Linked DNA regions of Coturnix japonica. Each later gene encodes a partner of the first gene's protein in a complex. Links are inferred from orthologs where the notes say so. Each region holds a gene or a part of one and is shown on either strand. Other genes may lie near its edges.

Region 1 (6,702 bases):
GAAATGGGGAAAAAAAACACCATAGCTGTACTGCACAGAACAAACAACCTAGATTTTCTAGTCAGCCTGTATGACAGTCAGATTTGTTTGAGATTATTCTTTTTGTCCTCCAATCCAATTTCTTTGTCCTTGACAGTGCAGGTTCTATACTCTCTAGTGCAAATTTACTAATCAAACTTTAATGCATGTTTGGATGGAGAGCGGAGAGAGGAGTCTTAAACATTTCATTCAAAGGGTAGTCTCATTTCAACGCGACTTCACAGCTAAAAGTTTTTCTACAGTAAGAACATTTCTAAGAATTTAAATGCAGTTGCACACTTTAAATTGTCAGTCACAACAGAAATCATAGATTTTTACAGCTGGCAGTGTGTAACTAAACTAGAAGGGACAGCATAGCTTGCTTTCACAGTGCGATTACTTTTTGCACTGCTTGCAAATGTGTTCTTAAGGAAGAATTCATGTGCCCTGAGCCATAGGACAATTTTCTTGCAGAGGCTGAGCTTCAGTAGAAAACAGTGGACAAGTTGCATAGGCACTGGGGAGCTCTGCAGGTAGTGTTTAGTTGCAGCACTTGGCTTTTCTGCTGGAAATGAGGAGCTTGTGAGCAGCTGTGAAGGTTTCCCACAGTTGTTTGAGAGGACTCTTTAGGGCGCCTACTGGACTTCAGACAGAAGAATAATTCTTGCTAAGAGTAACCCTAACTATCGTTCTCAACTGGAACAACACTGATAGCATTTTCATATTATAGTGAGCGGTTGAATGAAAGGCACTTGGGTGTGTTTTCTCTCCTATGGCCTTATTTTTTTCCACTCCTGTTTCCTAGTGTTGCTTAACAACTAGCCATCAAGCAGTCTTCTCTGCTTAGAAGCTCAGTAAATGTTTTGATTAAAAACTCAAGCAGCTTTAAACCTCTTGCTGCTGAGGCTTAGCACAAGGTGCAGTCCAGTTCCCAGCACAGCTGGGTCACCAGGTGCCAGTCTGAGGCTGCATGGAGGGAGGAGTTGTCCTCTGCTGATGTATTGTACTTCAAATCACTGATGCTTACCTCCACGTGGACTAGACACAACCAGCAGATCAGAGCCAGGCATGGCTTGTATCCCTCATTGTGTCACAGGTTTGTTTGTCTTAACAAGTGATTGCTCCTTGGTGCTTGAGTCACTTTGAGCCCTCATCACTTCTGATGTGCAGAGAGAGGCTGGGGTGCAAAATTAGGGGAGTGGTGCTGTAAAATGTTCCATCACCTCTCTCTTTAAGCTGTGAAGCTTTTGAAAATTGTATTCAAAAGTTGTTGAGGTAGGAGTGCTTTCCAGCACTGGAGATGTGTTCTGAGATTGGAGCCGCTTTCAAGATGAAACAAGCTGTCGAGCTATGAGTCGCAATGTCAGCACATAGCCAGGGGCCTCGCACAGGAAGTGGCATCTGGAAGTTTCATTGCTCGGGGTATGTTTCTTCCCTTGAGCGTTAAGTTACTGTTTGTACAGTTACAAGCAGAATCTCAAAGTAGGCTCTAAACTTTGTTTATTCTTGTTGGCTTCTTGACATTTGCAATGAGAGCAGCCCCATTCTGCCTCATGATTTGAGGGGGAGTTGAACCTGTGTTCTTCGTGGCATGTGGGTTTTGTTAGTGCTTGAGAGGCGTTGTACACCTTGTGTGTGTTCAGGAGTATTGTGCCCTAAGAAATGCTCATTGCGGAGCCTGTTGGTTCTTTTAAAATTCCCCCATTATCTCTGAGTGATGTGTGAGACTTTTGAAACACAAACAGAAGCGAGATGCTCTTCATGCTCCTTGTGCAATAATTTGTTCCTTTCACTAGTGATTGAAACAAGAAGTACTTTGTTTTCCATTTGTTTTCTAAGGGAGAGCTTGCTTATGTAGTTTCAGTCCTTCTCCCTCAGCATTGATGCCTGTGTGGGTTGGGAAGTGGTGGTTTTTTGTGTTTCATGGACTTATTTTCAATTAACCTTTGAACTTAGTCTCTTAGTGTATTCCTGCTTCTTTCCTCACTTGTTTACTTTTATAGGTACTGAGTTACTTCAGAAGGAATAATTCACTGACTCCTTAAACAGCCCCTACTCTTTATGAGTGGTTTGCTAGAGATCTAGGAAGTGATTCTTGTACAGTCCATTTGATTTGGGAAGTTGAAAGGCTGTATGTTGGGCCTCTGCTGTCTATCTGCACAAATGCGATGCATGGCTCCCCATGGGTTGCTGCCATCTGTCCTGTGTGTAAAGCTGAGCTTGCAGAGATTGAGAAGACTGCCATCTAAAAGCAGCTTTTTTGCTTCTCAGGTTAGAAGGTGCAATGCAAGGCCCTAGTCATGAGTGGATAGATATTCTTCATTGTCACTGTGAAATTCTGACTCACCAGATGATACAGTGAATAAATTGTATTTCAGTTTCTTAGAATCTATTGAAATAAAGCCCAGACTTGTCTTTTCCTCTCTCAAGAAGCATTTTCTCCATTCAGGCCAAAAAGCAGCCGTGGTATAACAGCACGCTCGCCTCACGACGGAAGCGGCTCACAGCTCACTTTGAGGACCTGGAGCAGTGCTATTTTTCCACAAGGATGACACGTGTCTCAGGTGAGTTCCTCCTGCTTGGTGTTCAGCTTTTGACATCATTTACTTCTCACAGTCCCGCTTCTCAGGAAAGCTTCACTTTTAAGAGACAAGCCTTTGTTTTTCCCTGCCTTGAGAAACACTGCTATACATATGCATATATTTCTTCAAGTCACCTTGTGGAGATTTTTCATGACCAGTCTTTGAGGTTTTTAAGCTTATAAAGTATAATACTATTGTTTCAGAGCACCACATATGTTGCTCTGTAATGCTGTACTATGAAGGTCGTAACCACTAAATAGTTTTTCTCTAATCTTTGTTCTGAAGCTGCGGTGGCTGGGTAGTTTTTCTTCTAGATGTGGAAAAAGCACAGTCATTAAAACACTTATCAAAATACTAAAGAGGTGAAAACACGTTGATAAATGTTACTATATTTAATGTGCGGTACAACACTTGGAGGTTATCCTTTGTTGTCCAGATTGTGAGTCTTGGTTAACAAATGGCTTCAAGTACAGAAGCTGAGTGTGCAGCAGCATCATTATCCCATGGGGCACACCTTAGATTTAAGACTTGTTTTGTAGAATTAGAAGCTGTTTTCACAATTGCCTGGATTGCCTCATTCATAATTGAGTAACAGTGTGGCAGCAGCTAGAGTAATTGTTACATGGTGGATGGATGGTTCTTAATTATATAACGATATTCTCTTTGGAAGCGAACAGGTCAAACGGATGCCTCTTAAGGGAGAGGAAGGTCGCTCTCTGGCTCTCATGGGGAACAAGCAAGCTTTGGGGAAAAGAAGTTTAGTGCAATGGGCTGTGGCAGGCAAGAGATGTGCAGCACCAAGCTGTGAGCAGCAGCTTATACAAAGAGGGAGAGAATGCAGCAAAGAGCAGGTTGAGGGGAGCCTCAGAAGCACAAAAATAATGCAGGCAGGGGCTGCTGCAGCAGAGCATCTTTGCTTATAACCTTGGAAGGCAAGGACTAGCATGCCAGGATACAGATCAGCAAGCAAGCTGGGTCACAAATCCCTGCTCCTCTGTTAATTTGAGGTTTGGCTGCCTAAACATTTTCCAGCTTTTGAAAACTATTACTAATAAACAAAAAAAAATGTGGCCTTTTTATGTTCAAAGACTGCCAAGTGTTGTAGGAGAGCTCACTCTTGGATGGAAGATGCGGGCATGTCTGTTTGGGAGCAGTGGCTGACTTGGGTCCTGTCATGCCCAGCAACACAGTTCTAACAATTTGTGGCATGATGGGCTGCAAGATGATGGGAGAAGGTAGTTGTGTGTGACCAGCCAAACTCCTGTGAGGTGCTTGTAATGTTCTGCAGGCTGCAGTACTTCACAGATTAGCACAGATATTTCCATGTGTGCTATCTTGGTGATACGGAGCTGTGTTTTTGTTAAAATAATACGTTTATTAGCTAAGGATAACAAATTGGACTTTTCCCAGCATTCCCTTGTTGAAGACATTTTTCTTCATAATTGGAACTATAAATATGAATGCGGTGCAATTGTGCATTTTGTTTATGTGTATGTCAGCTGCACCAAAAGTAGAGGATTTGCTACGGCTGTTTTTGCCCTAAATAAGGGATAACCTGTAATGCTTAATTAGATTTTCTTCTCTTCAAAGTCATTCCTGCTTTTTGACACATTTTAAATAGGATTTAATATGGATATAAGGGGTTTATTTGCAAGAGATGCCTGAAAATCTTCTAGTAAGGAGCAGAGCAGTAATACAGCTGGAATTATGAAATGGCCTCGTGCTTTGACGAGGAAAATGTCTTGAGAAATAACATCCCGTTTTGCAGACATAGATGCAGAATAAATTACAGGAGGACTGTGTGCTTGATCTCTAAATGAGGGAAATGGAAGAGCAGCAGCTATTTGCTCCTATTAAAGTGTCAAAGGAGGAATCGGTCTTTGAAAAATACTTACTGATGTTTATGTGCTGCCTCTCGAGTTGTTTTCTTTAGTGGTCAGGTGCTGAGGGTTTAATTTAAAGCAGTGCTTTGTTCATTCTGATCTATCTGACATGAGTAATGTACCCATGGCTGTACCCTAAAACACGCTTATTACTGAACTTTGCTGTTTCTTTATGCAATCAAACATGAAACAGCTTGCAGGGGACACTTCAAAATGCCCTATGGTTACAAAGCAAGATAATTTCTGATGACAAGGAATTACCATGGTGCAGAAATGTTAGAAATAACTATTGCAATTTTTCTCCTTTTTTCACCCCAGTGTTTCCAAAGACTTCCAGTAAGTTGAGTTATATCACTTTCTTACGCTATTGATAAGGGAAGCTTAACTGTGGTGTAAATTAGCGACCTCGGCTGCACAGGCAAATGATGTGTACCTTTCTGCTGCTGCAGTGGGTGCTGTGGTTTAATAAAAGGCAAAGTATTCAGTAATGTGACTTGCATACTGGACTACCTGCAATCCAGGGTGCTGCATGTCAGAGCTGCAAGGAAGGCAAGGGGGAATTGCTGCAGATTCTGGGGGTTGCTACAAAGCCTGAGGGCTCTGCCTGATGTTTGACTGCCGTTGCTTGATCACATTAGGAAAGCTGGCTCGTCCATGAGACATGGCTGTAAGTTAGGAATTCTTCCTTATATAGGAAACTCTAAATTTTGAAATGGTTGAAATAAAATTCCTTTAGTACCGAAGAAAGTTAAGACTCGTGAGGTTTCGGGGAATCATTTTTAGCCCTCTGTACTGTAATTTACTTTTAACGTTTGTAGCGAACTGTTCCATTTTCCACAGAATATTCATCATTATTATTCACGCTGGCTGAATTTCATCTTGTCTGCTGAAGGTCATAATTTCACAAAACTTACAGCACATGGAGTCTGTTGGTTTCATGCTTGTCTCCTTTCTCTAGCCGTGAAACAGCTCTCCCTCAGCTCTGTTGCTTTTGGAGTAACAAGAGAAATACTTCTTGCTACAAGTTTTTTGAGTGTAATTGACACCAAATGTAGGCATATTGTACCTGAAGTACAGTTCTGGGGGAAAGGAATATATTTTTCACTTCCATAGAATGCTAGACATTCTTTACAGTGCAATTTGATGTGCTTAAGGCTTTTCTGTTAATAAACCTTATGGCCCGTAGGCTTTGAATTTGACTAAAATAAGTGAGCTCATCTATCAGGAAAGCGTATTTATGATCTCTAGGCAGATTCTCAATGCAGTAGGTTCATTGGAAGGACTTAATTTATGCTCTGAAAATCCTGCTGCCTTGAGGGAATGCCAAAAAGATGAAAGAGAGAACCTATTTTTGACCAAGAATCCTCCCCAAATAGCAAGCAGAGGTGGTAACACATGAAGACACGCATCATGTTTGCCGTTGTGTTTATTTACTTTCTTATTCATTTTTCACCCTCTGCAACTCTTCCACCTCTCCCTAGATGACAGCAGAACCACAAGCCAGCTGGATGAGTTTCAGGAGTGTCTATCCAAGTTCACACGCTACAATTCTGTCCGGCCCCTGGCAACGCTGTCCTATGCTAGTGACCTCTACAATGGCTCCAGCATAGTCTCCAGGTGAGAAATTTGGTGGCTCTAGCAGTGCATTTCGTGGTGATACAGGCTGCTGAGGCAGAGCTCATTGCTTGTACAGATCATAATTTGTTTAATACATGTGTAACACTTTGGCTACACCAAAATAATTTTGTGATGAACATGTGGTTATCATCGGTCTGTGAATGTGCTTAAGAGTCACAGTAGTACCTTTTCTGCCAGCTGATATAGATTAGAACCAAGTGTGGAATCTTTGAGAAGCCTTTCTAGTAAGACATGAAGGTTTTGTTGTAGGCTCGATCCTCTTCATGGTACAGTTGCATTAAAAATAATGGAGATCTAGCAGTTTAAGCCATTTTTCCTGATGCTGGTAATGTTAGGAATCTGTGGTGTTATTAAATCTTGTTTGTGGAGCCAGTTGTAATGGCAAATATTAAATAGCTAAGTTGTTGGTGACTGCGATTGCTTGACCTCTGCTAAGTGTTGGAAGCTCTTTCTGCCGTGCTTAAACTGGTGAGGGGGTGGTTGTGGTAAAATCAGCATAATAATTCTCTTTGTGCCAACAACAACTCTGCACCCTTCTGCCACGTGGGATGATCATGTCTTCTGCACCACTAAGGTCTGAG
Region 2 (7,146 bases), on another chromosome or scaffold:
TGATGACAAAGGTCTTACCTACCTGTGGTCACAAGTACCTCATGACGTTTTTCTCAAGAATAGCTCCAGCACTGTGGCTGAAACTAGTGCAGAATTCACCATGGAACAAGATCAACTTTCAATGTGATTTCAAGTGAGTGTTAATCTCTGCCTTCCCTAGAAATCTCCCTGTATAGGTCTGAGAGGCAGCGTGGCCCATCAGCCTGGCACTAATGACAGTGCTCTGTTACATAGTAAAGATTCACCTGGGAAACGTGTTTCCTGGAGTGGAAAATTCCTCCTTTCTCTTGCTGCAGCCAAAGCATTAAACCAAGGGCACCTCATCACACACAAAGCGAAACCATCGGTCATCCAGGAGTTTTTTTTTAACAGAGAAAGTACTGACTGCAAACAGTGATTCCAAATAAGCAATGTTCTACTTCCTGGTCACAGAGGATTTACTGCTCATCCGTGTCATTTAAACACGTGACACGCTCACAGCAGTGCCCAGACAGAAACTGTGTGTGCATGTCTGTGGCCAGCGAGTGAGAGAAGGAAGAACATCCCCTTGATTGCTGAGCAGGTGAAGTGCTGCGACGTGTGTGAGTCGGGCAGTGGTACCCATGGATTTGCTCAGCCTTTTCCTGCTCAAGTAAGCTCTGCAGCAAAGCAGGACTGCACCAACAAATGTACAGATGTGTGTTTTATTGCTTCAAAACACTGCACACGAGGTAGCAGCAGGGTGGAGGTGGCTGTGCATCTCTCTGTTCTTCTGCACTTAGTCCAGACCCGAGGACACAGCTTGAAAGCACGCACATGAATCGAATTGCATGGGAAGCTTACCAAAGGAAGTGTTTGCTTGTAAACAGCATGAATAGGATCCTCTCTGACCGCAGGGGAAGCGGAGAGCCGCTCATTCACTGCCCGCTTGTGCAATCGGCTTCTGAAGTAAGAATGGGGCTTGAGGTTTAAGACCTGAACCTTCACACATCTCCAAGCAACAGAAGCAGCCTTCATGCTCTAAGGTCTGTAAGGGGACAAAGTCAGGAGGTGCTGCTCATGGGACTCCTTGGATTTGATAACAACGAGCTTGTCAAAAGGGAATTATGTAGATATCCCAGCAACAGACTGGCCTGTGGGAGGGCTCGAGGGGAGGCATCTGAACACCATCACACTACAGTCCCTTTGATGTCATTGCACTCTTGTCACGTGTTTGATATCTCAGCACTGAATCCACCACTGAATGTCGCAGTGTGTAAGGCTGATGGTAGCATTACCGCAGGTGTGATTTCTTGCCCCAAAATGGGACTTTAGTTCTTTATCACCTGAGCACACAACTTGGAGCCTTTTCTGAGCCGGGGGATTCTGTACAGCAGCTCTGCAGCAGACCATGTGTTGGCTGCTGGGTTTACACTGCTGGCATTAAGTCCAGCAGTTGTGTAAATGTCATCAGAGGTCTTGAAATAGCTCTTAATGCGATGGTATTTATTTTTCTGATAGTTTAATATTTGCCTGATAGTTTAATATTCACTCAAGTACTGGTGTGTCATGCATCTTCCGATAACTAACACAATGACTTATTAATTTCTTCCCATAGCAAGCAGCCGGTTTATTTATAAATGGCCCAATCCAACAGGGTCCCTCTGCGTATCCCATGGGATACACTGACAGAAAACCAGACCTGTCCCAGGCACTGGGGAAGTGGGGTGATGGTTACACAATTCCCATTGCTGCTGGCTGCTCCAGTTACAGAGATAAAGGGTCAGAGAAGTGGAGCAGTGGAGACAGATAACTGCGCATCACAGGGCGAGCAGCTGAGCTCGCAGTGCGGGCACTGCCAAACCTAAGACAGATGCTGGAATGCCATGGGAGAAGAATTCCTTAAGTAACACGGGAATGGAACGGCAATGCCCAAAGTCCCCTTAGGGAACACTTAGGTAGTGACAGGACAAGGGCGAATGGCTTTAAATGAACATCACGGAACCACTGAGGTCAGAAATGACCACCAAGCCCCTTGTCCCGTGCTACAAAGATGGAGGCATACGTGGAATGAGGGAGCTGCAGTCAAATATGGAACCTGAAGATCTGATCATGTCTCTTTGCCAGAGTTTCCTAATCCCTCTTACCAGAAACATCCCTCGCTTCACAATCACACCTTATTCATGTCATCAAAATGGATGATATGGGAATATTAAATATTAAAATGTTTTATTATTTACAGATTAATAATATTGTGTATTTTAGGAGGGCTGCTCTGAAGGTCGTGCCTCCTATTTTATAACGGCCCACAGTGTCAGAGGTGGATGCTGGTGATGGGGCAGTAGTGGTTGAGCCTTCCCACCAGTATTCAGTTCTGTGTTGTTGCCATGGGACAGATGGCAGCAGAGGGGCTGAATGGAATCGGACATGGAAGTGCGTGTGAAGCAGAGGTGTGTCACTGAGCAACTCCATGCAGAAAAAACGGCACCCACTGATGTACAATGACACTCAATGAGCGTTTCTGCAGATGGGACTGATCACTGATGGGACTGATCACTAATGGGACGTCACTGATGGGACACATCACTGATGGGACTCATCACTGATGGGACGTCACTGATGGGACGCAGCCTTCCAGGAGAGGAAACACGGAGCAGAAGTGCTGATGGCTCCGTGCGTGCTTTGCCTATAAGGGGAACAAAATACAACAGCGCGTTCCGAGCTGCAGTGAATCGCTCCGAAAAAATCTGCAGGCGTTCTTCGAATTGTTTGGTAAAGGAAAAAAAATATATATATATATATATAAAGGCAAAGAAAGGAAAATGCAGCCCCTGGGATATCCCTTTATGGCAGATGCATTTTGTGTTTAAACGCATTAATGGCTCTGCTATGCCGTGACTCACACAGCAGCACGGTTTCACGCGTTTCTTAAAATACACGTTGAGCGCTGACGGCGGCGCCGGGCGCTGCCTGCGGGAGCGGCACGGGGAAACCTCAGCGCCGAGCGCCTGGGAACGGGCACCGATGTGAACTGAAGAGCCGGCCGTGCGCTAACACTGCGGCTCCCCGCTCCTTGTTCGCTTTGCTGCCCGTTTCTCTCTTGCTTTCCGGCTCCCCGCCCTACAGCTGCCCCTCGCCGGCTGCCGGGGACGCGGTTTCACGGGGGCTGATCGCCCCGAGGAGCCTCGTGGCGACGGAGCCGGGCTCCGCTTTTCGCTTTCGCTCGTGGGAGCAGCGCGGGGCCGCCGGAACTCCGCAACCGGGGTCGGGGTCGGGGTCGTCCCGGAGCGACGGGCGCGGCCGGGAGCATCGCACGGTGCAGCTCGGGGGCACGGCGGGGCGGGCGGACAGCGGGGCGGAGCGGAGCGGGGCCGGGCCGAGCTCCCTCCTCCCACTTCCCCGTGCGTCAGGGCCGGGAGGAGGAGGAGAAAACTGCTTTTTTTTTTTTTTAAAGCCTCCAACTACTTTAGCGCGGAGTCGGCAGCAGATGGTGGACACGGCCCGGGGCTGCGGCGGGGACAGCGAGGGGATGCGCCAGCCGCGCTCCGCCCGCCCTTAGCCCCCGGCCCCGCTTCTTCTTCTCCTTCACCTCGCCCTCCACCATCACCTCTTCCTCCTCTTCTTCCTCTCCCCGCTCCGCTCCGCGCCCCCCATGAGCCGCCCCGCTCCGCCGCCGCCCCGCCGCGCCGCCGCGCTCCTCCTGCCGGCAGCCCGCTGCCGCAGCGCCCCGGCCAAGCGGCTCCAGCCGCTGCACGACGGCCCCGCCGAGGAGGCTCCGGCCGCCAAGTGCCCGCGCCTGGCCGAGTGTCCCGGCGGAACCCCGGACTGCCTGAGCGCCCCCGGCTCGCCCTGCGCGCCCGTCTCGCCCGCAGCCGGCGGAGGAGCGGCGGGGAATGTGGGCACGGCGGGGCCCAGCCTCATCGCCTCGTACCTGCTGCTGCCGCTGGCCGAGCGCGAGCAGGTGTCCCGAGCGCTCAGCGTCAGCTCCGGCCGGGAGCTCCGCTGCAAGGTGAGCGCCGGGCGGTGCGGGCTCGGAGGGGGCTGAGAGGGGACGAAAGGCTTCGGGGCGGTTCGTGCTTTCCGTCGGTTTGGCTTGTGCTCCCCGTCGTCCGTGCGGAACGAACGGCGGAGCCGCGGGGAGGCTCCCGGTGCCGCTCCCGAGCGCGCTGGCGCTCCTCCATTCCCGGCATTGTTTGCAAAGAGTCTCTAGACGCGATTCCGCTCCCAACGCCCTCGAGAACGAACGTTGTGCTCGTTTCCTTTGTGCAGGTGTTCCCTCTCAAACACTACCAGGACAAGATCCGGCCCTACGTCCAGCTGCCCTCGCACTGCAACATCACCGGCGTGGTGGAGGTGATCCTCGGGGACACCAAGGCCTACGTGTTCTTTGAGAAGGACTTTGGGGACATGCACTCCTACGTGCGGAGCTGTAAGAGGCTGAGGGAGGAGGAGGCCGCCCGGCTCTTCCGACAGATCGTGGCGGCCGTCGCTCACTGCCACCAGTCGGCCATCGTGCTCGGAGACCTCAAGCTCAGGAAGTTTGTCTTCTCCAACGAGGAGAGGTGAGCGGCTGTCACCGGGCAGGTGGGGGGAAGCCTGGTTCAGAAGGGCAAAGAGCATCCCAGGAACAGGGTGGACCTGTGCCCCGTGTGTGCAGTGGGGCGCCTGCTGGCTGTGGTTGGGTCTTGGCTGAGGAGCTCTCCATCAGCCTCCCCTCTTCCAGCAGAAGTTCAGTGAGGCAGTCACAGGGAGTCAGTTGGGTCTTGGTGATGATGGATGAGTTTTGGGGTCAAATGGATGAAGGGATGGGATGTGGAGGGAATGAGGGCAGCACGGTGCTGCTCAGCATCTCCGCGTTGGTGGCAGTGCTTCTGCTGCTCCATGGATATGGGCATGCACGGCACAGAGGGCGGTCCATGGTTAAATGTCCTGCAGAGGGGAAAACTGGTAGAACTTAACCTAAAGCCTGAGTTATGGCAAGGTGGTTCCAGCTTCCCCCATCTGCTGGCACGCTGCTGGGATCAGCTTCTAAATCTAGACCGAGGCGAAGCATTCAGTGTCTCCCTGGAGAGCTGGCTGCTCTGTGCACTGCGCTGCACGTGGCAGGGCTGGGAGTGCGGTGTCAGCCCCGGGAACTGACCCTGAGTGGCTGCTGTGCTGTAGGAAGCTCAAAACATGGGCACAGGCTGCAATGGGGTCGTGCTTAATGCGACGAAACGGAAGGAACCGCTGTGTTTGGTTTTCTTTTTTAACTGCTTCTGTGGGATATCGTTTGTGAAGGTGATAAGACGACGAACCAGAACTGCACCTCTTAAACAGAAACAGCCGTATGTTGACATGCAAAGAAAGTAATTCCTTTGAAGGAAACTATTGCAGCTTTTCCCGCCCCTAGTGAGATGAAACATTTGTTGAAATGTTACATTGCACACAGCCCGGCTCGTTTGGAAATTGGCGTTGCACAGGCGAGTGTCATGTGCATTGCGTTTGGCAAGAAGAGGGTTAAGCAATGGCAGGCGGGCGCTGGGGCTCACCAGCACAGGTGCAGTTTCAGTGCTCCCGCGGCCAATCCTGGGCCCACGGTTCGCATTGAGTCACATTTTCCGTTTACAGAACCGATGGGTATTTTGCATTGCAGCGGGAGGTCACGCCGAGGACAGGCTGCAGTTAGCACATCCCTGTGGCACGTGAGCCGTGGCTGCTGGTGGGAAGCTCCCGGTTTGCCACTACCGGGAGCAGGGCACCACCTGGAAAGGCAAAAGGGAGAAAATAGGGATTGAGCAAGCTGGTGAGCGCCGAGAGTGCAGAACAGCCAGGCTTTGTGTTGTGAAAATGAATGCTGGGATGGCAGCAGGAGCCTCGCTGGCGTTCCTCGAGAGCCCAGCATTTGCTGTCGGCCCAGCAAATGAGCGTGCATGTAGCTGCACTTGGGGCTGGGATCAGCATCCCTGGTGCAGATTAGGAAGTTGTCGCCTCTCCTTTGCTAATGCATGGAAGGGAGCGGTGGTCGCTGTGCAGAGCAGTTGGTCTTGCTGCCACATGTCTCTAACCCATGGCTTCTCCTTGTTGCTCCCCACAGGACGCAGCTGAGGCTGGAGAGCCTGGAGGACACGCACATCATCAAGGGCGAGGACGACGCGCTGTCGGATAAACACGGCTGTCCTGCCTACGTCAGCCCCGAGATCCTCAACACAACGGGGACGTACTCGGGGAAGTCAGCCGACGTGTGGAGTTTGGGAGTGATGCTGTACACGCTGCTCGTGGGCCGCTATCCCTTCCATGACTCGGACCCTAGCACCCTGTTTTCCAAAATCCGCCGCGGACAGTTCTGTATTCCTGACCACGTCTCCCCCAAAGCCCGATGCCTCATCCGCAGCCTCCTGCGGCGGGAGCCCTCCGAGAGACTTACAGCCCCGGAGATCCTGCTCCATCCCTGGTTCGAGGCGGTCCTGGAGCCAGGATATACAGACCAGGAGACAGGGACTTCTGATCAGATTGTTCCAGAATACCATGGAGACAATGACGATATCAGTTCCTTCTTCTGCTAACCCTGATATCTCAAGAACCTCGCCATTCTCACCTCTGGCATCTCCGTAGGGTTTGGTTATTTTATTTTTCCACATTACAGACTCAAAGCATCTTAAAGTGCCAGTATGGTCAGAAAAGTGACCTTGTTTCAGATGAACGTCGACCTGCAGATCTCTGCTGTGAGCACACACAGAGGCTCGATGCTCGCCCTGCCGGCAGCATGGTCCTGCTGCCTGGAGGAGCTACATGGTTCTGCTCCTGCCTCCCGAGCCCTATGCCCTTCCTTGCTGTGTTTTGGCTGCAGAGTCTTATTGCTGGCAATGGGAGAGACGCAGAGCCTGCCCTCGGCATCCCCCTTTGCCCCAGGTTGTATGGACGGTGATGTGCAGTGGGTGGAGGGCACAGGGCATTTCTCTAACTGAGCAAATCTGACAAATTAGGTATTTTTGTTTTGTTTTTCCCTTCATTTGTTTTAAAGTTGGGGGAATTGACTCGGTGTCTTGCAAAGCAGTTTTCTGAATGTAAGTGCACTTTAGTGAGGGAAGGAGGTCTTCATCAGCACATCCAGCTGCCTGCTCGTTGCCCCAATCAGCCCTATTTCCATAGGGATGAAGCTATCAGATCCTCCCCTAAGAGAGATCCCTGCTGTGATCACTGCCGGGA

What was found.
Region 2: the proteins of COP1 (region 1) and TRIB1 are in contact, whole or in part, in a crystal structure (PDB 5IGQ), measured with the Homo sapiens proteins. The link is inferred for Coturnix japonica from reciprocal best matches to the Homo sapiens genes COP1 and TRIB1. Residues at the interface, in NP_071902.2 of Homo sapiens: Ile423, Ser425, Val441, Lys472, Tyr491, Trp517, Asp534, Ala556, Asn557, Cys559, Ala576, Asp577, His578, Lys600, Ala601, Ser603, Thr618, Lys643, Asn644, Phe645, Phe699; in NP_079471.1 of Homo sapiens: Asp355, Gln356, Ile357, Val358, Pro359, Glu360, Tyr361.

Annotation. Positions count from the first base shown.
Region 1 is NC_029523.1:4,927,329-4,934,030, reverse strand, and holds part of COP1 (E3 ubiquitin-protein ligase COP1), read left to right. Parts: intron 1-2,467; coding exon 2,468-2,582; intron 2,583-5,964; coding exon 5,965-6,100; intron 6,101-6,702. UniProt on the Homo sapiens protein: E3 ubiquitin-protein ligase that mediates ubiquitination and subsequent proteasomal degradation of target proteins.
Region 2 is NC_029517.1:125,151,897-125,159,042, forward strand, and holds the start of TRIB1 (tribbles homolog 1), read left to right. Parts: upstream 1-3,299; 5' UTR 3,300-3,610; coding exon 3,611-3,967; intron 3,968-4,227; coding exon 4,228-4,520; intron 4,521-6,034; coding exon 6,035-6,503; 3' UTR 6,504-7,146. UniProt on the Homo sapiens protein: Adapter protein involved in protein degradation by interacting with COP1 ubiquitin ligase. The COP1-binding motif is masked by autoinhibitory interactions with the protein kinase domain.